3 linked regions of the Rhinolophus ferrumequinum genome follow. The protein of the gene in region 3 purifies or fractionates together with the protein of the main gene of each other region. This does not show direct contact. Links are inferred from orthologs where the notes say so. Each region holds a gene or a part of one and is shown on either strand. Other genes may lie near its edges. The genes, in order: WWP2, NLRP3 and TXNIP.

Evidence for each region.
Region 1: the proteins of TXNIP (region 3) and WWP2 purify together in Homo sapiens (affinity purification with mass spectrometry; 3 studies listed by BioGRID and IntAct, with this or other methods). This does not show direct contact. The link is inferred for Rhinolophus ferrumequinum from reciprocal best matches to the Homo sapiens genes TXNIP and WWP2.
Region 2: the proteins of TXNIP (region 3) and NLRP3 purify together in Homo sapiens (affinity purification with western blotting, with the first as the bait; 4 studies listed by BioGRID). This does not show direct contact. The link is inferred for Rhinolophus ferrumequinum from reciprocal best matches to the Homo sapiens genes TXNIP and NLRP3.

What each region holds. Positions count from the first base shown.
Region 1 is NC_046298.1:18,774,341-18,781,842, forward strand, and holds the start of WWP2 (NEDD4-like E3 ubiquitin-protein ligase WWP2), read left to right. Parts: upstream 1-4,422; 5' UTR 4,423-4,506; intron 4,507-4,677; exon of another isoform or gene 4,678-4,698; intron 4,699-7,502. UniProt on the Homo sapiens protein: E3 ubiquitin-protein ligase which accepts ubiquitin from an E2 ubiquitin-conjugating enzyme in the form of a thioester and then directly transfers the ubiquitin to targeted substrates.
Region 2 is NC_046307.1:1,051,533-1,059,607, reverse strand, and holds the start of NLRP3 (NACHT, LRR and PYD domains-containing protein 3), read left to right. Parts: upstream 1-4,996; 5' UTR 4,997-5,749; intron 5,750-7,225; 5' UTR 7,226-7,406; intron 7,407-8,075. UniProt on the Homo sapiens protein: Sensor component of the NLRP3 inflammasome, which mediates inflammasome activation in response to defects in membrane integrity, leading to secretion of inflammatory cytokines IL1B and IL18 and pyroptosis.
Region 3 is NC_046305.1:50,205,494-50,212,822, reverse strand, and holds the start of TXNIP (thioredoxin-interacting protein), read left to right. Parts: upstream 1-4,304; 5' UTR 4,305-4,563; coding exon 4,564-4,813; intron 4,814-5,280; coding exon 5,281-5,353; intron 5,354-5,477; coding exon 5,478-5,625; intron 5,626-5,829; coding exon 5,830-5,932; intron 5,933-6,058; coding exon 6,059-6,315; intron 6,316-6,404; coding exon 6,405-6,561; intron 6,562-6,665; coding exon 6,666-6,817; intron 6,818-6,947; coding exon 6,948-6,983; 3' UTR 6,984-7,329. UniProt on the Homo sapiens protein: May act as an oxidative stress mediator by inhibiting thioredoxin activity or by limiting its bioavailability.

The sequences.
Region 1 (7,502 bases), on a different chromosome or scaffold from region 3:
AGGTGGCGCTCACCACTACTTCCCATTCAGGGCGTCCGGGAGCCGGGAAGAGCAGCTGCGATTTAGCTGCGCCGCCTGGCGGCCGCACCCGCATCCCCCGACTCAGGACTACCCGCGCGCATGCGCGACGACGCCGGCAGCACAACCACGGGATGCGGGCACGGTTAAACCTTGGGGTACATCTAAGGAAATACGCTGCAGCACTCACTCCTTAGCTCCTTTTCCACTTTTAAGGGTGAAAGTTGTATATATTCTCATTGTTAAATCAGTCAATACACATAACCCAATTTAATGATCAAGGGATAGCTACAAGACAACTAGGCCCAGCTTAAGTGGTTGTGACTGAGATTAACACCCAGACAAACCAACTCGGAGCCTCTTTTTTACCCATTATGCTATACTGACTGCTGCTTACGTACCCCCACTTCCTTTTGAGTAACTTGAGGCCAAGTTACCTTAATATCCTTATTTACCTTAGTATCCTCGTTCCACTTCCCTAAGCAAGACACACACTTTGCTAGCAAATAATTCCTTGCTGAATCGAACTGAAGAGGGGTATTAGATGATTTCTGAATTCCCTTTCCAATCTGAGATTCCATCATTAGGAGAACTGGCCTATTATAAATTCATGCTGGTGAATTTCAGCTGAATGTTGACTTGAGTTTTCAGTAATCAGTTTTCAGAGATGTTGAGTTATTCCAAACCTCTGTGAAGTCTTCAATCCAGTCTTAGCCCTCCCTTCTAATTTATGCATCCTACTTCCAGAAATCCCTGAAGGTCCCCTTCAGTAGTTGCCCAAACCCCTTTCCCTTCCCTAGACATCTGTCTGAACTGTTCTTACTTAGTCTCCTCAACCTCCAGAGCCACTGGTTCCTGCCCTGCCTGCCCTGCCTAAAATAGCCTGATAGAAAGCTTTCTAATTTTCGAGTTCATCATGTCAATTTTCTGGTATTTTTTTCTTGCCTTCTCAGTTTCTCTGTAGAATTTGACATTGCAGCCCATCTCCTCTTTCTGGACTGTCTCTCCTTGCCTGACTTGGGTGATACTACAAGATTCTGGTCCCTTCCCTCCCTGATGGCTTCTCATCCTTCTTTACTGGACTCCCTTCTTCTGCCTTGCAAACCGGACCCCCTCCACAGAACTGTCTGGCCCCTTTGTCTCTCTAAACTCTCTCCTTCAGCAATACTATCTATCCTCAAGGCTTCAGTTATCACATTATAGGAATGCCTCCCAAATCTTTAGGTCTAATCCCTGTTTATTCCCTGTTTATATCATCTGAAAACTTTTGGCATCTTCACTTAGGAGGAAGGTTATGACTGAAGTAATTATCTCTCCCGCCCCAGCTTAAACTTTGTTCCAATACTAAGGTTTCTATTTTCATTAAAAGGCATTACCAACAAAGACATTCAAGGTAAGCATCTGAGTCACCTCATTTCCACCCTCTCTCTCAACCTGTGTTTCTCTTGCTAAACCTTATTGATGTCACTTCTGAAATGTATGGGGCGTCTGGGTCCCCTCTACATTCATTACTCTAATCAAGCTTTTTATCTCATGCCTAATAAATATAATACACTCAATGCTAGTATTCCTGTCTAATTTCTTCTTCAATTGATTGCTCATGTAGCCTAAAAAGCAAGGGAGGAACTAGAATCTGTAATAAAGAGGTTCATTGAACTTGGCAGCGATAATTGAGTAAACCCCACAAGGAAGAAGAATGATTTAGATCAGTGGTTCTCAGACTTGACTGTCAGAATCACCTGGGGAACCTGCAAACACAGCTTGATGGGTCTCACTCTCAGTTCCTGATTCAGTAGTTCTGGGCAGGGCCTGAGATTTTGTATTTCTAATAATTTCCAGGTGATACGGATGCTGCTCCTTTGGAGGACACGTTTGAGAACCACTGATTAGGGAAAAAGGAAAAGAATGATCAGGCTTTGAGCCATTTATTTTCTAGTAAATACTAAGAATACTTATTAATACACAGGCATATCTTGGAGATATTGCAGGTTCAGTTCCAGATCACTGAAATAAAGTGAGTACCATAATAAAGTGTTATAATTTTTTTGCTGATGGAAGGTCTTGCCTTCAATTTGTGAAAAATGCAGTATCTCTGCAGTGCAATAAAATGAAGAGCAATAAAATGAGACATGCCTCTAAAAGGTTTCTTGACACTTTGTAGCTTTTGTCATTTTTTAATAGAATTGAATCTCTTTTCTGTTTCTTTAGAACATTAGTCTCCAAGCCCCCTAAAGCCTTAGAAGGACTCTCACTTATTTAACAATTATGTATTGAGAACTAACTTATATCACCATAGGGTGGGTGACATGACAGCTATGAACAAAATCATATTTTCTGTAGCATCTAGGGACACCTTCAGAGTTTTTGACTTTGGAGATGGATCTGGAAGGATGAGTAGGGCAAAGCCATCAAGATAGGAAAGTCCAAGGGGTGTTCATGGAATTGAAGGTAGAGCCTATGGTAGGACATGGTGACTGGGGACAGGGTCTCTCAGAGGTGAAGTGAGCCCCGAAACACTTCACTGTTTTGAAGCTCCCGGTTTTTAAAAAGCAAAGAAATCTCACACGCTATTATGAAAATTGTGTTTACATGAACAAATTAACACTTTCAAGTACATGTAGAAGGAATCAATGTGTAACTCATTTGGAGATGTCAACTTTTACATGTGAAGAAACCCTTTATGAAAGAGAAGGTATTGCTTGTGTGCCAGTGAAGATCCGAGTTTGTTTCCAGGATTGAAATATGTAGAGGCTATGAGACTAAATGCTTAACAGGGGAGAGAGAACTTGATGCAGAAGAAACACTGTGAAATCAATAAATGTTCTTAGAATTCTTCTGGACTTTCCTGTCTCTGCCTTTGCCCTTGTTTTTTCTTATTCCTGAAAATTCTGCCTGCCAATCACTGCTTAGTTTCCAAAAATGGCCCATTGTCCCCTCTGTAAATTGGTCCCTGATTACCCAAATTAGATTTTTCCCCAAGGACAGATTTGAACTCTGCTTTTCCACCACATTTAAGACATTTCAGTTCTGTCACTCAGCGAGCAGTTATTATTTATGCTTTGCAATGTAGTTGTCTGTTGTCTTTAAGTAGGTTGGAAGTCAGGGAATGGGTTTTAGGGATCTTTATCCTTAAATGAAAAAAATCTCTTACACTGTAGGACCTACAGCAATGAGTTCAGTGCTCAATAAATATTGAAATGTATTCATTCAACAAATTATTTCAAGAGGCTTCCCGAGTTTGGAAGGTCTGTGGAGGGGGCCACGTCTCAGGGACCTGAGAGCAGCCTCTAGGAGCTGCATGTGGCCACAGACAACAGCTAGCAAGACCAAGGGACTCCGGTCCTCTGGCTACAAGGAAGTTAAATCTGCCAACAATATTAAGGAGCTTGAAAGCAGATCTTTCCCTAGTCAAGCCTCCAGCTGACGACGCCACCTTAATTTCAGCCTTGTGAGACGCTGAGCAAAGAACCTAGCTGTGCTGGCCTGGACTTCAGACCTGTGTGAGGTAAAAAATGGGTATTGTTTTAGCCACTACACTGGGATATAGCTCCTGCCTTCATAATTCTTGTAGTGAGAAATAGATTTTACATATGTATTTTATGTACATACGTACATACCTACACACATGCAAATATTCATACAAAAGTCAGATAGTGATAAGACTGGAGGAAATATGGAGGAAAAAATAAAGCAGGAAAAGGGGCCGGTAGGAGAGTATTTTTACTTGCTTCATCTGGCAACCCTATGCCTACTATGAGTCAGGCACTGTTGTAGGCTCTAGATACACAAAAATCCTTTCCTGATCACCCTATGTAAATTTCCTGATCATCCTATTTAAATTATTTTAAATTATTTTACATAGTGTGATCAGGAAAGGATTTTTGTGTATCTAAAGCCTACAACAGTGCCTGACTCATAGTAGGCATAAGGTTGCCAGATAAAGCAAGCAAACATACAGTATGGCCAATTAAATTTGATTTTCAGATAAACATTTTGTGTGTGTATAAATATGTCCCATGCACTATCTGGGACACACATATTACACGGTTGTTTATCTGAAATTCAAATTTAACCAGACGTCCTGTATTTTATCTGACAATCCCACTAAGGAGCTCAATAAATACTTGATGACTTAATTGTTGAGCGGCTTCCTCTCACCTGTATAGTGGGGCTAATGATAGACCCGCCTCCGGGGTTGTAGGTAGGAGTATATGAAACTCCTGACACTCAGTGAGCCCTCAATTTATTTGATTGCCTGGGAGCCGTCCAGCGAGTGGTAAACGCTCCCACTTACACATATAAAAGGGGTAAGAAGGCCTTCTCTCGGCCAAAGGCTCCCAGGCCAGGCCTAGGTTGCCTGCACCTGCGAGTCCGGCCAGCCTCTTCCGGGTCAGGTGACCGCAAGCGGGCACGTGACTCAGCCCGAGTGCGGGCGGTGGGAGGCGGAAGTGGGAGAGGAGTTGGGCGCGGATTCTGTGGCCGCGGCAGGTAGCGAGCGCGGGCGCGGGGGGCGAGGCGGACGCGCGGGGGGTGCGGGGCGGGCCAGGGGCTGCGGGCGGCTGGGGGTGGGCCGGGGGCGGTGCGGCCCGGGCGCCGGGGGGCGGTGGCTTCCTGTGGGAGGGGCCAGACGCGGCGGTTCCGGCCTCCGAGGAGGGGTGTCCCGGCTCCGGCTCTGGCGCGGTGGGCGCGCCGAGGGCTGTTCGCGGGGGTTGCTCTGAGATGGGCACGGAGGAGGCCAGGGGTGCGGTGGCGGACAGCAAGTCCCTCGGGAAGGAGAAGGGAGTTTAGGTGCCAGGGATAGAGAGGGGTGACCTTTGAGGAAGGGTCGGGACGGGAGGAAGGGGCAACTTGCGACTGAACTGGAAGGGGGAGCCTGATAATGGGCATAGGACATGGAGGGAAAGAAGGAGAATTCAGGAAGATGCTGCTTGAACCCCAGCTGAGTCTCTTCCTTCTTTCCTCGGGTTGCTACCCGAGACTTTGATTTCGGTCCCATTCAGTTTGTAAACTTTAGGATGGGTCACAGAATCTTTTCTTGCTTTCGTCACACGCACTTAGTCCTGCCTGGATAGGGTTTCCACTTCTTGGGAACCTAGCCCTTCTGATAATCTTTCTTTGAGGTTTTCCCAGGTTAGATCAACTTCTAGGCTGAAAAAAAAAAGTGTGGGCACTTTGGCCATAAAATGGCTTTTAGTTTAAACTGTTGCTCAGCAGTTACCTCAGCAACATAGCGACTGCTGAAACCTTGGACAGTGTCTACCTCTACAGCTTTATGACTTTTCCTCTTTCTTCAGTTTAAATTATTCAGCTTCTCTTACCATGTGACTGCTTATCTTGACAAACTGTAACTAGGTAGGGTAACTGAAAGGTCTGTGTTGTGTTCTTCAGAACGATGACCTAGATCGTGATTTTGAGATTAAACACCTGTGTGAAAAGCTGTTCATCGTCTTTTTCTTCGTGTTTACTAAAATTTGCAGCAATGAAATAAATTTCGTGAATGTGGTATCACTGGAGTGAATGTTCAAACTGGGCATTCACAGGAGCCAGAGTCATTTTGGGTGACAAGTAGGAAAAAAAAGTACTTTGCTAATGTATTATGATTGCAAGTTTTTGGAATATTTGACAGTTTAAAATTGATTTTTGTAGCAGCCCTGTGAGTTAGGTTGGGAAGGTGTTATTCTCATTTCACAATGAACAAACAGACCTAAGAGATGACTTCTTTTTTTTTTTTTAAACAATTTATTTATCTTGTTTACTGGTTTCTTTCTCCCTGCTAGACTGCAACCCCTCAAGTGCTGGGGTCATCTTATTCAGCTTACTTGGCTACTAGCCTAGTGCCTGGCATGTTGTGGGCACTGGGTAAATGAATAAATGAATTTCTAAAGGTTACGTGGATGTATGTGGAGGATAAGGGATTTGAACTCAGGACCTGGCTCTTCTCTTAGACAGACTTGCCATTTTCTGTTATTGGTCCATCTGAAGACCATAGGCCTGGGGAAAAGGTTTGGGTTAGCTCCTCAGTCTCTTACTTAACGACTACTTTCCATTTACAAAGACTTATAACCAGCATCTCATTTAATTCTCACCATGGTCCTGTAAAGGTTGGTATTGTCCTTATTCTACAGATGAAGAAACTGAGGCTTAGCAAAATTCTTGCTTTAGAGTCCAGAGCTACTGAATGAATGAGCAGGGACTCCAGCCCAGGGCTTTTATCCTTAGATCCACTCTTTTCCATTCATAGAAGCAATATAAAGTTTTATTTTAAAATATTTTTTCAAGTATAAAAAGCATGACATTTTAAGGAAAAAAAGCAGTATGTAGATCACAGCAAAAATTGTGAATGCAGAATGCAATTGAAGTTTAGAAAACTCTGTGCAGTGCTATAGCCGCCTTTTCCTGGGAAAGCATTCTTTAATTCAATGAATATATATAAGTGCCTACTTTACGCCAGGCATTGTTCTAGAGTTGCCTTGTCCAGTATGGTGGCCAGTTGCCACCTGGGACTGTTGAGCACTGAGAATATGCTATGAGTAGAAAATACACACCAGATTTTGAAGACTTAATATGGAAAAAAGATAAAATATCTCATTGATATTTTTTATATTAGAATAAATATCAATATCAATATATATAGTATAAATGATGACATTTTAAGTTTATTGGGTTAATCACAGTATTAATTGAAATTAAATTCACCTGTTTCTTTTTACTTTTTAAAATGTTTTCTGGAAAATTAAGAATTGTATTGCACAGTGCTGTTCTAAACACCGGTGAAAGAATATATGAGAAAGTCAAAAATCCCTGCCCTTGTGGACAGTAAATTTTAGTGGGGAAAGGCACAGTAAACAAAAGAATCCAGTAAAATGCATATTGTATTGTAATAAAGCAGGGAAGTAGGATGTGGAATGTTGGCTAGGGTGGCAGTTTTGAATTAGGGTCCTGAGAGAAGACTTCTTGAGAAAGTGATGGTTGAGTGAAGATCTGAAGGAGGTGAGGGAAGGAGCCATGTGGCTGAATGGGGACATAGTGGTCCAGGCAGAGGAAACAGCAAATTCAACAGCCTGAAAGACACAGCACCCCTGGCAGGTTTGTGGATCATCCAGGAGGCCAGCAGCTGCAGGGATATGAGTGAGACGGGATGGGGAAGATGAGTCAGAGAGGTGTTGGGGATAAGGAAAGAGATGGGCGGGTGGGGGAGAGCCTTGCAGGCCATTGTAAGGATGTTAGTTTTCACTCGGAGTGAGTTGGGACCATTGAGTTTTGAGCAGTGGAGTGGCCACCATCCATCCTGCCTTTTAACCGGGTCACTCTGGTTGCCATGCAGAGAAGGAGTAAAGAGGAGCAAGACGAAGTAGGGAGACACGTTCAGAGGTATTGCCAGGATCCAGGTGAAGGACGGCGTGGGTCGCGGTGATGGAGGTGGTGAGGAGAGGTTGGGCTCTGGGTGTATTTTGAAGTACAGCCAACAGGGTCTGTGGATGTGG
Region 2 (8,075 bases), on a different chromosome or scaffold from region 3:
TGTGTCCTAAGGACATTTTCTATTTCCTTTAGGTCCATTTGAGGTATGGTAATTGGATTTTATTCAAATGCCACCATCTCAAGGATGCACACATATGTTAGTCATGATTTGTATGTTGTCTCACTGGGTTGAGACATTCCTTTGCAGGAGAACAACAGCCTTAATGGTAGGGAAGTTATTTATATTAATAATAATCTCCAATTGGAGAATTCCCTGTGAATTGCACAGTAACTGAGAGACTCATTTCACGGGGCCAATAATATATTTGTAATATTTGGCTTATTTTACAGCATTTTCATTGCACTTATCACCCCAGTCCTCTGGATTGGTTGAGTGTACAAATGATAAGTTAAAATTCAACTAGGTAAATTTTCAGAAGCTTTTAATCTCCCTTGGCCAAAAGCTCTCCTTATAGTGCTTCTCAAACGAGATATATTCCTTTTGGTAAACATGGGCTTTCTCCTCATTATCATTGTTCACCTTACTAATAGGAGACATTCTACATTATTATCAAGGACTTATCAATTATCTTAAAGAAATTAATAAATTAGTAACTGATTCACTTCAGCATGTTCCCGGGAGACGAAGACTGCAAAGACCACGGCTCACAGCCAGGAGATTTTGTCCATTGGACAAAGGCTCTCCAACCTTGTCGGAAGGGACCTATCAGTGGATACCAAAGACTCTTCAAGGATGAGAAGCTGCCGACATCAGGGTTAGACAGCTACCCCAAGACATCGAGAAGGCCTGTACATCTACATAATTGATACTGAACTTAAAACAACCATTGTTTGATTGTCTTTAACTGTCTGCTAATAATATTAGTAATAATGATAGTTATACTTGTTTGTTAGGCTTTTTTCAAAACCTGTACTTATATAGCCCGACTGTTAATAATTGCTCAAGTCGTATTAGATAACTTCTTTATTATCAATAATACTATATTTATGGTTTTGAAATGTAAAAGAAATGTTATTGTAGAAAGAAGAAAAGGGATGTGTGTGTATTTTTGAGAGAAGTTAAAAGGAAGTAGTTTGTCCTAATAAGTTGATTATTTCTGAATGAGGGAAAGGAGACAAACTGAGAAGGACAAGTGAAGTTATAGAAGGTTAGTGGAAAAGAAATATTGAGAAAGGAATTTTATATTAGAACCCAATTATACTTAGCCCCAATCTTTACAAAGACTACTAACGATATTAATTCAGATAGAAGCTGAAGTGGAGATCTATCTATCTATCTATCTATGTGTGTGTGTATATATATATATATATATATATATGTACATATATACGTATATATATATATCCCTCTATAATGGCTGCTAAGGCACAGAAAATTTATTTATGAAACTTCTACTGTCCTCTTGGCCTCTAGAAATGTTCAGGTAGTAATTGTAACTTACACCATTGTGTTCTTAGCCCCTATTAAACCTTAAAGATACAGGTCCCGGTTATACAACTAGCAGAAATCAGATTAATGAATGACACATGAGCGCTTCCAATGTAAAGTAGATAGGCCATATTAAACTGAAAAGGTGAATGATTATGTCCCCAATCTATATGGAATTCTGAATTTACCTAATCCTGGCCTATTGTATCCACCTCAACAAACAACAATATGTGTTATATGAGAAGGGGACGTTTTTGTTGGGAAGGGTTAGAAAATTCTTCTGTCATACTAACTGATTTCTACTGTAATAATACCAGGTTTATAGTAAATGCTATGGGAATACGGTGTAGTACTGAAATCACAGCCAAATTAACTTTGCCTATAACAATATTGATACTGAAAATCCAGTGTACTGGGAAATTGAACTTACTCCTCCCCATGAAGTCATTTCTATGGAAACTAATTGACCAGAAGAAAAATTAGAGCTTTTCGATCATGAAATAGTAAATTCTTCATTTATCTGGCCGAACTTGTCATAAGGTACAAATAGCAGTAGACGAGGGAGGGAAACATATTAGCTTAATAAAAAATTATGATAATGCAAATGAAGGGTTCTTTGGTTGGCTAGGATGTTTGCTCCGCTCAGACTCATACTTGTCTAATATTGGACATTTTCTGCTCCTAATCAGTGTTACTGGTTTAATACTATTGCTCTTGTTCCTAGTTTGTACATGTTATATTAGGTGCAAAAAAACAACATAAGACAGACAGAGGAAAAACTTGGATCATGATAGCTCAAAGATTAGAAATGATCCAGAATATATTTAATGAAGACATATAGGATCTGACTGCCTCCTGTTTGCTCACCTTTTCTTTTAAATATAAATAAATAATTTGGCCTTGACTGCCATCTAAGGTTATGGTCTTGCCCCACCCACAATGGTCCAACATTCAGCAGGACAAATGCCGACACTAAGATTCCTAGGAATGAGCCCTCCTAGCACCGTGGGACCACACTATCCAACCAAAAGGTTGGTCATCAATGTATTATTCGAATTGATTTATGACCAAAAGGGGGAAATGTGAATGAAAAAGGGGCCACATTTAAACCTGACAAGCTCAGGAGACTGAAAATAACCACAGAGGATGGTGTGAACATAAAAATTCCTCAGTAAGGTGGGCCATGGCGGGAAGTCACATCCTCACCTGTTGCTTCCTTGGCAAAGGTAAATCTTTACCTTACGTGAACCTGTCTGTCGTCTTTTTGCATCTAAGATAACATACCCTTGGAATATAAGAGTAATCTCTTCCTTCAGACCTCCCAGAGGGCACAACCCACCGCACCAGAGCAGGAAACTACAAAATCCCTCATTGTTATCTTGTTTTCTAAATACCATCTCTCTGTGCTGTAAAATGCTATTAACTATCCTGTACCCACCAATGTAAAAGAAGTGTGTGTCTCTCCATTTTGCTTTTTATCCAATCCCAGAGATTTCCCCGCTTTGCTTTCTCCCACCCCCTTAATCTACGACCAATGGATTTCATGAAACCCTCCTCCTTTGATTCTAATGTATAAAAATAAGTTGCAAAATGGCCATTTTCCAGAGCATTTTCTCAATCCGTTGAGATTTTGCTTCCCAGCAATTGTTGTCAGTTTGGCTCAAATGAACTCTTATAAGCTTTCTCTCAGGCTGGATGTTTTTCTGTTGACTGCACAGTCTAAGTTGCATGAGGACACACCGTAATGTTTTTATTTGACAGAAATTGCCATACCAGAAGTGATGTGTGACACAGAACCTTTCTCATATGCACCACCTCTTCTTTATCCTGTCATCTATCGATGGGCACTTAGTTCACTTCCGTATCTTGGCTGTTGTAAACAATGCTGCAATGAACATACACATGCATGCACCTTTTTGAATTAGTGTTTTGGGTTTCTTTGGATAAATACCCAGGCGTGAACTTGCTGAGTCATAAAGTAGTTCTATTTTTAATTTTTTGAGGCATCTCCATACTGTTTTCCATAGCGGTTGCACCAGTTTGCAATCCTACCAACAGTGCACGAGGGTTCCCTTTTCTCCACATCCTCACACCACTTGTTATTTGTTTGTTTGTTTGTTTATTTATTTATTTATTTATTTATTTTTAACATTTTATTGGGGAAGGGGAACAGGACCTTATTGGGGAACAGTGTGTACTTCCAGGACTTTTTTCCATGTCAAGTTGTTGTCCTTTCAATCTTTGTTGTGGAGGGTGCCGTTCAGCTTCAAGTTGTTGTCCTTTCAGTCTTAGTTGAGGAGGGCACAGCTTAGCTCCAGGTCCAGTTGCCGTTTCTAGTTGCAGAGGGCATAGCCCACCATCCCTTGCGGGAGTCGAGGAATTGAACTGGCAACCTTGTGGTTGAGAGCCCACTGGCCCATGTGGGAATCGAACCGTCAGCCTTCGGAGTTAGGAGCATGGAGCTCTAACTGCCTGAGTCACCAGACTGGCCCTATTTGTTGATTTATTGATGATAGCCATTTTGACAGCAATGAGGTGATATTTCATTGTGGTTTTGATTTGCATTTCTCTGATAATTAGTCATACTGAGCATCTTTTGATATGTCTTTTGGCCACCTGTATGTCCTCTTTGGAGAAATGTCTATCCATGTCCGCTGCCCATTTTTTAATTGGAATTTTTTTGTATTGAGTTGTATGAGTTTTTTTTAATAAATTTTGGGTATTAACCTCTTATCAGATGTATTATTGGCAAATATCTTCTCCCATTTAATAGTTTGTCTTTTCGTTTTGTTGATGGTTTCCTTTGCTGTCCAAAACCTTTTTAGTTTGAGGTAGTCCCATTTGTTTCTTTTTCTTTTTTTCCCCTTGCCCAAAGAAATACATCAGAAAAAATATTACTAAGAGCAATGTCAGAGGGTTTACTGCCTATGTTTTCCTCAAGTAGTTTTATTGTTTTGGGTATTACATTTAAGTCTTTAATGCATTTTGAGTTTATTCTTGTATGTGGTATAAGAAAGTGGTCTAGTTTCATTGTTTTACATGTATCTGTCCATTTTTCCCAAAACAGTTTATTGAGGAGACTATCTTTACCCCTATTGTATATTCTTGCTGTTAGGTCTCTGAATGTTGGAGACCTTGACTTAATGTTAGGTCTCTGAATGTTAGGTCTCAGAGACCTTGACTTACAGACAGAACCACGTCTGCAAGAAAACAACAAAATGTCTGTTGGCCTGCACCTGCAGACAGAGCCAAACTTGCGAAAAACAGAAAACACCACAAAACAGCTACTAGCTTGCAGGTAGTCAGAATTTTCTGTTCAAACAGTGCTACCCTGTCAGCACAGCCCCTATAAAACTCTCCTCACCCCCTCCCTTGGGGCTGCAGGTCTCCTTTAGACGCACAGTCTGGGCTGTAGCCATCTTTGCTCCGCCCGACAGGCTTTCTCTTAATAAACTTTCTCAGCTTGCCTGACCATGTGCGTTCCTTTACCAGCCTACCTATCATTTGGTGCCAGAACCCGGGAGGGTTTAGGCCAGAGAATGCAGGATCGCTTCTTCTCTTTCTCTTCTCCCTACTCCCCTCTCCCCCCTGCTTGATCTGCTCTCTGGCTACCCTCCCAGACCTGCCGTAAGGATGTGCTTGGGGACTTTCTCCCTTCTGTTGCTGACATCCCAGACAACATCCGGCCAGACTCTCACACCGGGTGAGTGAGACGTCTTATTCTCTCCTCGGACCTGCTGACTCTCCAGTTTTCCAAAAGTCCTAGAGCTAGGCCAGAAAGTTCCTCCAGGCCCCGGGGGCCCAGATCCTCCCAGTCTGAGGACGCTGTTCTGAGGAGCGGTCTACCATATCCAAACCCGAGGAGGACGGACACCGGAATCGGGAGATGCCTCACCCCTGTGCTCCTCCTAACAGGAAGCTCTCTTCTCACCCTTGTCACTCTATCTCTTCAAACCATGGGGGCCTCACATTTGGTCCTTGCCAAATCTACGCCTCTCGGTTGTCCCCTCCACAACTTACACTCCCTTGGGCTCATCTTACAGGATATCTGACCCACAGGACTTATCTTTTACTACAGCACTGCCTCACCCCTATCTAACTTCTGTCACCACAACAGAAAATGGTCAGAAATTCCCTATGTGCAGGCCTTCTTTATTCTTTGAGCTCGACTCTCCCTCTGCCAAACCTACAATACATTCCAAATTCTCCTAGCGCACTCTAAGCCTTCTCCTCCTCCAGATAAAACTCCTTCCTTTGACCCGGCTGAAGATCGATTGGGTCTCTCCTCGTCCACCCCATGCCCTCAGCCTACACCTTCTCCCCCAAACTCCAGCTCCTCATTTCAGGAGGATTTAGTTCTGTAAGTACTAGCTTATGTAATTTATTTGTTTTATTTGCCTCTAGTCTGTCTTTTCTCTTTTCCTTTTCCTTTTCTATTTGTGTCTTAGACACCAAGCTGATCAGGAGCTCTGTATCTATACCTTCTGTGAGCCTTCTAAGTCATGTATTTAAAACTGTTTTGTACACCAACTATATTCAAGAACTTGACAAAAGGTGGTAATTCTTAAAAGATTTCTCTAACTCTCAGTAACTTTCAAGGTCTTGCAGATAACCTCAAATGTAAACAAAGGGCTGCTGCAGCCTCCACTTGAGGCTGAGGTAACTGAAGAGAAAAAAAGAGGCACTTTTAAACCCAGGCGGCAAGCGCCCCCACTCCGTTACAGCCTCCTGAAGTTGGAAGGGCAACTATAAGATCTTAGGTCCTCTCTGCAAGTGTTGGTGGTTCTGTTTACATATGTAGTCTCTAAGGTCTGTACTTGTCTGTTTTATATAATAATGGTTTTGCCTCCAGATGGTATTGCCAGTTTATAATATTTGATTGGCTAAAAATAAGAGAGTAAGTGCTTATATTAATTAAGATAATAACAACTAACTCAACTACTTCTCAGGATCACCTGATCTAAGGAAATATTTGATACTAAGACTGGTTTGTTGGATTTACTAAGTTGTGTTAAATGATGAAAGTTATTAACTATCTAGGTATTTCAAAATAGCAAAATATTGAAATATCAATTATTGGCTAGGTCTGAGTTTACCTATTTCTGGCTTCTTGTAACAGGAATAATAAAAGAGAAATTAAGATCTGTTAATGAATATGTCATGCATTGCATTACAAAAGTCAATGCTTTTAAAGGTTACAAAATATATCCCTCGATTTACCAGGGAAAGAGCTAATTACTTGCTTTTGGTTATTAGTATAAATTAAGGTTGTAAAGGTAGTACAAAACTCAAGTTGATTTTTCTCTCTCTGCTAAGTAAGACAAATTTTATTAGACTATTGGTCTACTACTAATATAAAAGGTTTTCTACCTAAAAAACAAAGATGATATATGTTATTGCAATAATTTCTATATTCTAGGACTACTGGTGTTCATGTGTCCTTCTCATGTCAGATATAAACAACTATTAAAAAAAATAATTTAACTGTTTTATACCAAAAACCTAGATAAGTTAGGGTAAATTCATTAAGCTTGACTTAATATTTTTCCTCACCTGACAGCAAATTATAATAATTCCGACCCATTGTTGCATCTTAATAAAAAGCCACAGAATCTAGAAAAGGTCAGGAAATTTGTTTAAATATCTTTAACAACTGAAGCAGGATAAACAAGTAATAAAGGAACAGTGAAACTAGAGACAAAGCCAGAGACAGGCCAGACTTTTGGCTGCAGTTGTAGACAACCCAGGGCTGAAGCCACCTCAGGGCCCCCCAGAAACCCCAGAAGAGGAAACGCCAGGCCACTGGAGTAAGGAGTGTCCTACTCCTCCAAACCAGCCATGGTCCCACTGCAAACTAAAAGGGCACTGGAGGAGGGACTGCCCCCTGTTCTGAAGGGAGCAGAGACCAACTCCCTCCCCACAAATGGCTGTGATCACTGCTGGACCTGAAGTTCCCAGAGGCTCCCAAGCTCTTCTCATCACAAGGGTGGAACTGAGGGTGACCGTTGACGTGGCAGGTAAGCCTGTAAATTTCCTGATTAATATAGAAGCTATTTATTCTTTCTTGACCACTCACTCTGGACCTATTTATTTCCTCTAAAACCTACTCAGTTGTAAAAATAAACCCCCCTAAATTTGGGCTCATTTTACTCCGCCTATTCCTTACCATTGGCCTATGTTGCAGAAAAAGTATAAAATAAGCAAATCACACTTAAAAAGGACTCTAGAAAAAGTTTTGTCAGGAGACCTCTAAGCCCTGGCTCTAATTGCTGCCCATTGCTGTGGATTCTGACCTCAATTCTGTTATTTTCTATATTAACTTGGGAAAAGTCCAGCAGGCACTCAAAATATAAGGACTGGCACTTCCCCCAAGCCAACTCCTCTACACATTATAGCCCCTTAAAGTCATAAAGTTGTACAGTGGGGACCAAGAACTATTAAAAGCCTAGAGGGGGAGGGGTCTCTAACAGCCCAATTAACTTCTAAACAGAAGGGACCCTTTCCAGATCTCCCAAACACCCCAACTACTATCAAACTACAGAGAGTCAGTAGCTGGGTCGCCTTCCCTTCAAATCAAACCTGCTCTATTAAAGTTTCCACAGGACACCCCCAGAAGAAAGACTACTGCTTCTGTTCCTGTGAGCCAACTGAAGGCCTTAAGCTCTTCTTCGAACAAACAGACAAGT
Region 3 (7,329 bases):
AGAATGAGGCCTAAGAAACCACTCTGGTTTCCTCTGGAAACCCTGAAAAAACCATTTCAGTGGTAGAAGTCAGACTACTGGGGACAAGTAGTCTGGGGGACAAGTTTAGTCAGCAGAGAAAGTGGTGTAAATTATTTATTCTCTTAAGAAATGTTACAGGAAAGAAAACAGATGTGGTGATAGCATTGAGAAGGTATTAAGATTTTTTTAAATATAATAAGGCAACTTTAACAAATATCTTAAATGAGTCTGCAATAGTTCTGAATAACTTAATTCATCTCTTCTCCCCAGCTTTCCCTGAAGTCGGACAACTCCTAGACCTCCATTCTTTCCTCACCGTAGTAGAGAAATAGACCCAATAAACATGAAATTTGGTCTTCCCAATGAGGTGGGGTTTTTTGTTTTGTTTTTGGTACAGTAAATATACGTATTAGTTTCAGGTGTACAACGTAATGATCCAACATTTATACATATTGTGAAATGATCACCACATTAAGTCTAGTTAACATCTGTCAACATAATTACAGGATTTCTTTTCTTGTGATGAGAACTTTTAGAATCTATTCTCTTAGCAACTTTCAAATATGCGATATAGTATTTTTAACTGCTATACATCACATCCCCAAGACTTATTTTATAACTAGAAGTTTGTGCCTTTTGACTTCCTTCACCCATTTCACCCAGCGCCCCCCTCCCCCACCTGTGGCAACAAGGTACCTGTTCAGATGAGGTATTTTTAATAATTAAAGAAAAAAAAAAAAAAAAAAAAAATACCCTCACAAAGCATCCTAGAGACATGAACTCTAGATTAAGTATTAAGAAGCCTGGTTTTGGAGAGTGACTCTACTAGCTGTTTGTCCTAGAGCAAATTGCTTAAATAAGGGAACTGTTGTTGTTTTTCAAAGAATGTTAGTGTCCTCTTTACCTCTAGAGCTTTATGTTTTGCCCTGAATCCTTTGTACTGAAGATCAAACAAGATACGATGTGCTTAAGCACTGCTCAGGTAGGACAACATATTGAAAAGAGTACATACAGTACTTTAGATCAGACACAGCTGGGTTCAAGATCTTGCTCCATTTACAAAATCTGTGACTTCCGGCAAATTACTTAACCCTTTGAGCCTGAATTAATCAACCCTGAGTCACAGGGTTATTGTGAGAATTAAATGAACAATGTAACCTTAAATCCTTTCTGGAACAACATGACAGATGAACTTACAAATAAAATATCATTGAGATAATTTTGTAAAGGACTTTGTCCATTACAGGTGCTCAATATACGCACTTTGAACTCAAGATGCCACACAATGATTAATGCATTCTTATTTATCTGAGTTGGAGGCACACACACACAGTTGGGGAGTCTCAGTTCCACACTACCTTTCAAACCTTTACTTGCCTCTAATCTGGAGGTGACAGAAGTGATTAAAAGAACAAAGAAAGGGGTTTGTTTTGCCTTAGGAACTGAGTCTTTAGAGGTCTTAAAGATTTGTCAGGCCAGAGGTTAAAGAAAAGAGAAGTGCAACCAGCCTCTTGTCTCTGACTGGTAACAGAGTGCTGAGGGCGCTTCCCTCCCTTTGGCTTCACAACTCAATCACCTCTGGGAAGGCAAACAACAGTCACCACTTTGTTTCCTGTTGGCACTGGGATTGAAGAGAGTGGGGAAGGAACAGGTAAAGATGATCTCACTTGCAAAACTCCTGCACTCAGCCCTACTTAGCTCCTGTCCCTTTTCTCCCCTGCACCCCACAAGTGTTTGCACCCTAGTTTCAGGACAGCAGTTTACAAGATTCCTTCTTCCTTCCAATCAGGAACTGAGAAAGAATCAGGGGGCAGACTTTTATCAGAATACCGGGCTACTAGGTGAAAGGTCGTGAACAACCCTATCCAAGAGAGCTCCATTTCAGAACATGCCTTGGCTACAAGCCTGGTAAGGCAGCAGCCGCTGCCAAAACAAAATAGTTTTTTGGCATTTAAGGGAACCCAGACATAACAGAGAGCAAATAAGTGATCTGTACTGAATTCTGCAAAATGGGGAAGAAAGATAAAACTGAAGCCCAAGAGAGGGGCTTAGAGCAAGACAGAATCATATTCAGATTTTTTAAAACTCAAAAATTCAGCATTCAGAGATATGCCCAAATAAATATCAGCATTCGCTTTTTCTAAGATGTCCCAAATCACCACCCTGATCTATTAGGTTGGTGCAAAAGTAATTGTGGTTTAAAAGATTAAAAATAATTGCAAAGAACACAATTACTTTTGCACCTACCTAATATTACTACTCTGGCTCTCCTCCCAGCCTCTCAAAATGCACATGGGTACATATCACAGAGTTTAACAATATTGAGTCATGTATTTCTTTGTAAATATTTTGATATTTCACATTTATGTACACTTTCATACCCATCAAACTAAAAATTCTCCCAGAAGCCATAATTTTGAATTTTAAAAATTTCTTTAGTGAGTTCCACCTTCCCTGCTCCAGAAAATTCAGTCAATATTGCATACTGATTGAAAACTCAGGCTTCACTGGTTAACTTTCTAGAACAGGGTGTTTGCCTCAAACCCCCACACACTAAGGATCAACATGTTCCCTTTTCTGTTGGTGGTAATTGGGTGTGTGTGTGTGTGTGTTCTCCAACAGTTTTGATGCCTGATTCTTGGGCTTGCTTAATATTGGGGTTGAGCTATAACTTGTTAGCCTCAACCCAGTAGGAGGTGTGAAGAAGGATCTTTAAGAACCACGAATAGCCTTCTTTTTGCTGAGAGGGTAGGATTTCTGTATATTTCAATGCTTCTTTACTTCCCCATCTCCATTTTGGAGACATCATCTTCCTCTTTCCAGCACAAGAAATTATGTAATAATCTCCTGATGCCCCACACAGAAATGAGAGGGGCTCAGGGATCAAAGAAAAGGGGGGAAGAATCCCTGTATCTCTGCAACAGTCACCTTCCTGCAGTTATGAATAAGTTCTCAGGAGTCAGCTCCTAAGACATCTCATGGCCAGTTAGGGGACAACCCTTCTGACAGAAAGCCAAATGACAACACAGGATGAGTCAGGGTCTCTTTTAATTTGAACGTATGATGTTCTAGTGACCCACCTCTCTTCTTTCATTTCTTACCGATTTCTAAACGGCTTAGGAAAAAAACTTTGAAAAGAGAGGGAAGTTCTTCCTTCAAACAGCAACACAGCTATCTCCCCACTGACACTTGTTATAAACAAGAGAACGTTCCTGCTTTTAATTAGAAGGCTGTGAGGTGTGTGGCCTACAGATACACGTACATGCCATCGATGTAGTGTGTTGGAGAGGGGATGAAGACAAAGAGTAAAAGTAACTCGGCAGAAAGTGAAAAGAGTGACGCACCCACCCCGCCCCCTTCCTGGAGATGTGTGGGGGTCGGGAGTGCGAAATAATCAGAGCCTTCAGAATGCACCTCACTAAAGAGGTCAAAAGGTAGCTGGGGGAACATAAACAAAGTGTCCCCCAACTATGCAGGTAGAAACTGAAAAGATGAGGGAATAAGCAACAGGATGTGAACACGCCCTTACTATTTCCGTTCAAGAGAACAGTCTGGAAAGTACGAGGGGGGGGGTGAAACAGCACAGGCAAGAGGACTAGAAAGGGAGGCCCATCGTTTACACATACCCGCTTTCCAATGAGGGCTGAAGAGAGGCTTAAAATCTGTGACCAGTTCTGGTTTGTGTTGTTGTTTAACACAGATGCGGAGCAAGAGGACAAAGGGGATCTTCCCGAACAATAACATCAACATTCCCTGTCCTCCACCCCATCCTCAAGTATTCTTGGAGCTCTGGGATTGTTTTTCACACGACTAGCGATGTGTGGGCCGGGAATACGCGGGCGCTTCTAAATTAATTGTCCTGGCTAAGGCGAGGCACGAAATCGCTCAGAAGCACGTTCTCCTTTTACCTTCAAACACCGCTCCCCGCCCTGAATCATCTGCACCCGCCATTCGAAGGCCCCTGGCCCTGGACACATTTTTAGGGTCAGCGAGGTCCTCCTTCCTCCGGGACCCAAGGGAAGCCGCTCCCCTGCCCTCCGCCCCCTCCCGCCCGTGCGGCCGCGGTGCACAACAACCATTTTCCCCGCCAGGAGCACACCGTGTCCACGCGCCGCTGCGACCTCGCTGATTGGCCGGGCTCCTGGTAAACAAGGACCGGGCAGCCAATGGGAGGGCTGTGCACGAGGGCAGCACGAGCCTCCGGGCTAGCGCTCGCGTGGCCCAGCCAGCCCCGCTACTATATAGAGCTGTTTCCGGATCTCAGTTGGAACTCCCCTCTTATTTTTGGAGACGGGGTGCAGTCAGCCAGCCGGCCGAAACCCAGAGCGCTTCTGCAGCTATTGGGGAAAGCAAGCTTACTTTTCTCTTGAAATTCCTTGGCATAACCAGCAGCTTACATTTTGACATCTTTTCAAAAATTGAGTAGAATTGAAGAGTGAAATAATCTTAAAATTATTGCCAAGGGTTCTTGGATTTAGGGTTTGGTGATTTTTTTTTTTTGCCTTCTTTGGTTTCTAATCCTTAAGCCAACCCAGCCCAATCATGGTGATGTTCAAGAAAATCAAGTCTTTTGAGGTGGTCTTTAACGACCCTGAAAAGGTGTACGGCAGTGGGGAGAAGGTGACTGGCCGGGTGATAGTGGAGGTGTGTGAAGTCACTCGAGTCAAAGCTGTCAGGGTCCTGGCTTGCGGAGTGGCCAGAGTCCTCTGGATGCAGGGATCCCAGCAGTGCAAACAGACCTTGGAGTACCTGCGCTACGAAGACACGCTTCTCCTGGAAGACCAGCCGACCGGTGAGTAACCCAGACGTGCTCTGCTGGAGGGTGAAAGCTGATTTGAGAAGAGTATTGAAATGAATAAATGGAGCCTGTACTAAATACTTTAAGTTGCTCAGGTTGAGTGCTTTGAGTTCTGTGCCGCGGCTCTTTCAGTTTTAATTTGCAACCCCCCCCCACCCCGAAAAAGTGACTAATACAACTTCTTAGGGTGCTGTGTTCTGGTCTTGCAGGATGTTGCCTTAGATCTTTAAAAATATTTTTGTGTGTGTGTGCGTAGGTTGCTTATTCTTTGTTTCCTGTTTGAGATGGCTTTGCAACTTTCTGCCCAACGACATGTATCAGAATTTGTCATTTAAAAATACAAGGGGTGAAAACTAGGGTACTACAATACTCTTGCATGCCACCCAAGAATTCCTTATCACAGGGATGCATTTTAAGTGTAACCAGAAACCTGATGGCTACTCACTTTTCTCTCCCTTCAGGTGAGAATGAGATGGTGATCATGAGACCTGGAAACAAATATGAGTACAAGTTCGGCTTTGAGCTTCCTCAGGGGTAGGTATCAGCTAAATGCATCTTTGGACTTTCTGTCTGTAAAAATCTTCCCCTCCTTTGATCATCTTCTGTTCTTGGAGAGCATATTTAAGTTAATTATAATACTTCTTTTTACTTGACACAGGCCTCTGGGAACATCCTTCAAAGGAAAATATGGGGGTGTAGACTACTGGGTGAAGGCTTTTCTTGATCGCCCCAGCCAGCCAACACAAGAAACAAAGCAAAACTTTGAAGTGATGGATCTAGTGGATGTCAATACCCCTGATTTAATGGTGAGGTTCATTTGAAGATTGTATGGGTTTCAGGGATAAGTCAAACGTCTTGGGCATTAGATTGAAGCAGCTCAGGGAATGAAGTCCTAAGTCATCAAGGTGGGAGGGCTGCCTACTCTAGGTAGGCAGGGGAAAGGAAAGAGAAGCAGAGAAAAGGATCTCTAGAAATTCTCAAAAAAACCTTTTCTCCTCCATTCTTCTTAGGCGCCTGTGTCTGCTAAAAAGGAGAAGAAAGTTTCCTGCATGTTCATTCCTGATGGACGGGTGTCTGTCTCTGCCCGAATTGACAGAAAAGGATTCTGTGAAGGTAAAAACCTAGAGCTTAAAACAGTAGACTGATAGAACAGAAACTGGGGGTTTGGGGGTGAGGACAGGGATCGAAGAAAAGTCATTAACTGTACTGAGCATCCGTTTTTATTTTTCTGATCGCTAGGTGACGAGATTTCCATCCATGCCGACTTTGAGAATACATGTTCCCGCATCATAGTTCCCAAAGCTGCCATCTTAGCCCGCCACACTTACCTTGCCAATGGCCAAACCAAGGTGCTGATGCAGAAGTTGTCATCAGTTAGAGGCAATCATATTATCTCGGGAACTTGTGCATCATGGCGTGGCAAGAGCGTTCGGGTGCAGAAGATCCGGCCTTCCATCCTGGGCTGCGACATCCTTCGAGTTGAATATTTCTTGCGGGTAAGTGAGTGAAATTGTTCATCTGTCAAAAGACCAGGGATGTCTTTTCTAGACCTGTAGTCTAACAAAGTGCCTTCATCCTTTTATAGATCTACGTTAGCATTCCTGGTTCCAAGAAAGTCATTCTTGACCTACCCCTGGTAATTGGCAGCAAGTCGGGTCTGAGCAGCCGGACGTCCAGCATGGCCAGCCGTACCAGCTCTGAGATGAGTTGGGTGGATCTAAACATCCCTGATACCCCAGAAGGTGAGCCAGACCTTATGTCTTTTCTTCCCCTCTGGCCTGCTTGGGTTTGTAAAATTGTGAAAATTCTTGGCCAGGCTTCTTATCCCCATACTTTTTCTCTCCAGCTCCTCCTTGCTACATGGATATCATTCCTGAAGATCACCGATTGGAGAGCCCCACCACTCCTCTGTTAGATGATACAGACGGTTCTCAAGACAGCCCTATTTTTATGTATGCTCCTGAGTTCAAGTTCATGCCACCACCTACTTACACTGAGGTGAGAATTGTCATTTTACCACAACGTTTATCCCAGGCCTTCTGTAGGATGTTAACTGGGCGGGATTGCTAAACTGGGGTTTTCTTTTATTTCTAAAACTAAAGGATCTTTTGCTTTTTCCTCCCTGCAGGTGGATCCCTGTATCCTTAACAACAATGTGCAGTGAGCATGTGGAAGACAAGAAGCAGCTGTACCTACGTGTTTCTTTCCACCTCTCTTCCTGGACTCGAACTTTTTCAGAGACTGGACAGTCTCTACAGTGGGCGATGGGTCCACCCTAACCTCTGACTCCCCAGTGTAGGAGATCAGCAGGCAATCTCCTGGGCCTTAAAGGGTGTGCACTCGTCCTCAGCCAGCGAGATGTGATATCGGGGTGTTGGCTGGATGGGTTTAAAAACACTAGAAGGACTCAGGCCCACCCCCTCCTCTCAGATCTCCTTGAAAATTGAGGCATCTTCAGTAGTTTCGAATAAGGGGTAGAAATGGCCTTCTGGCATGGTCTTCCCAAGTTT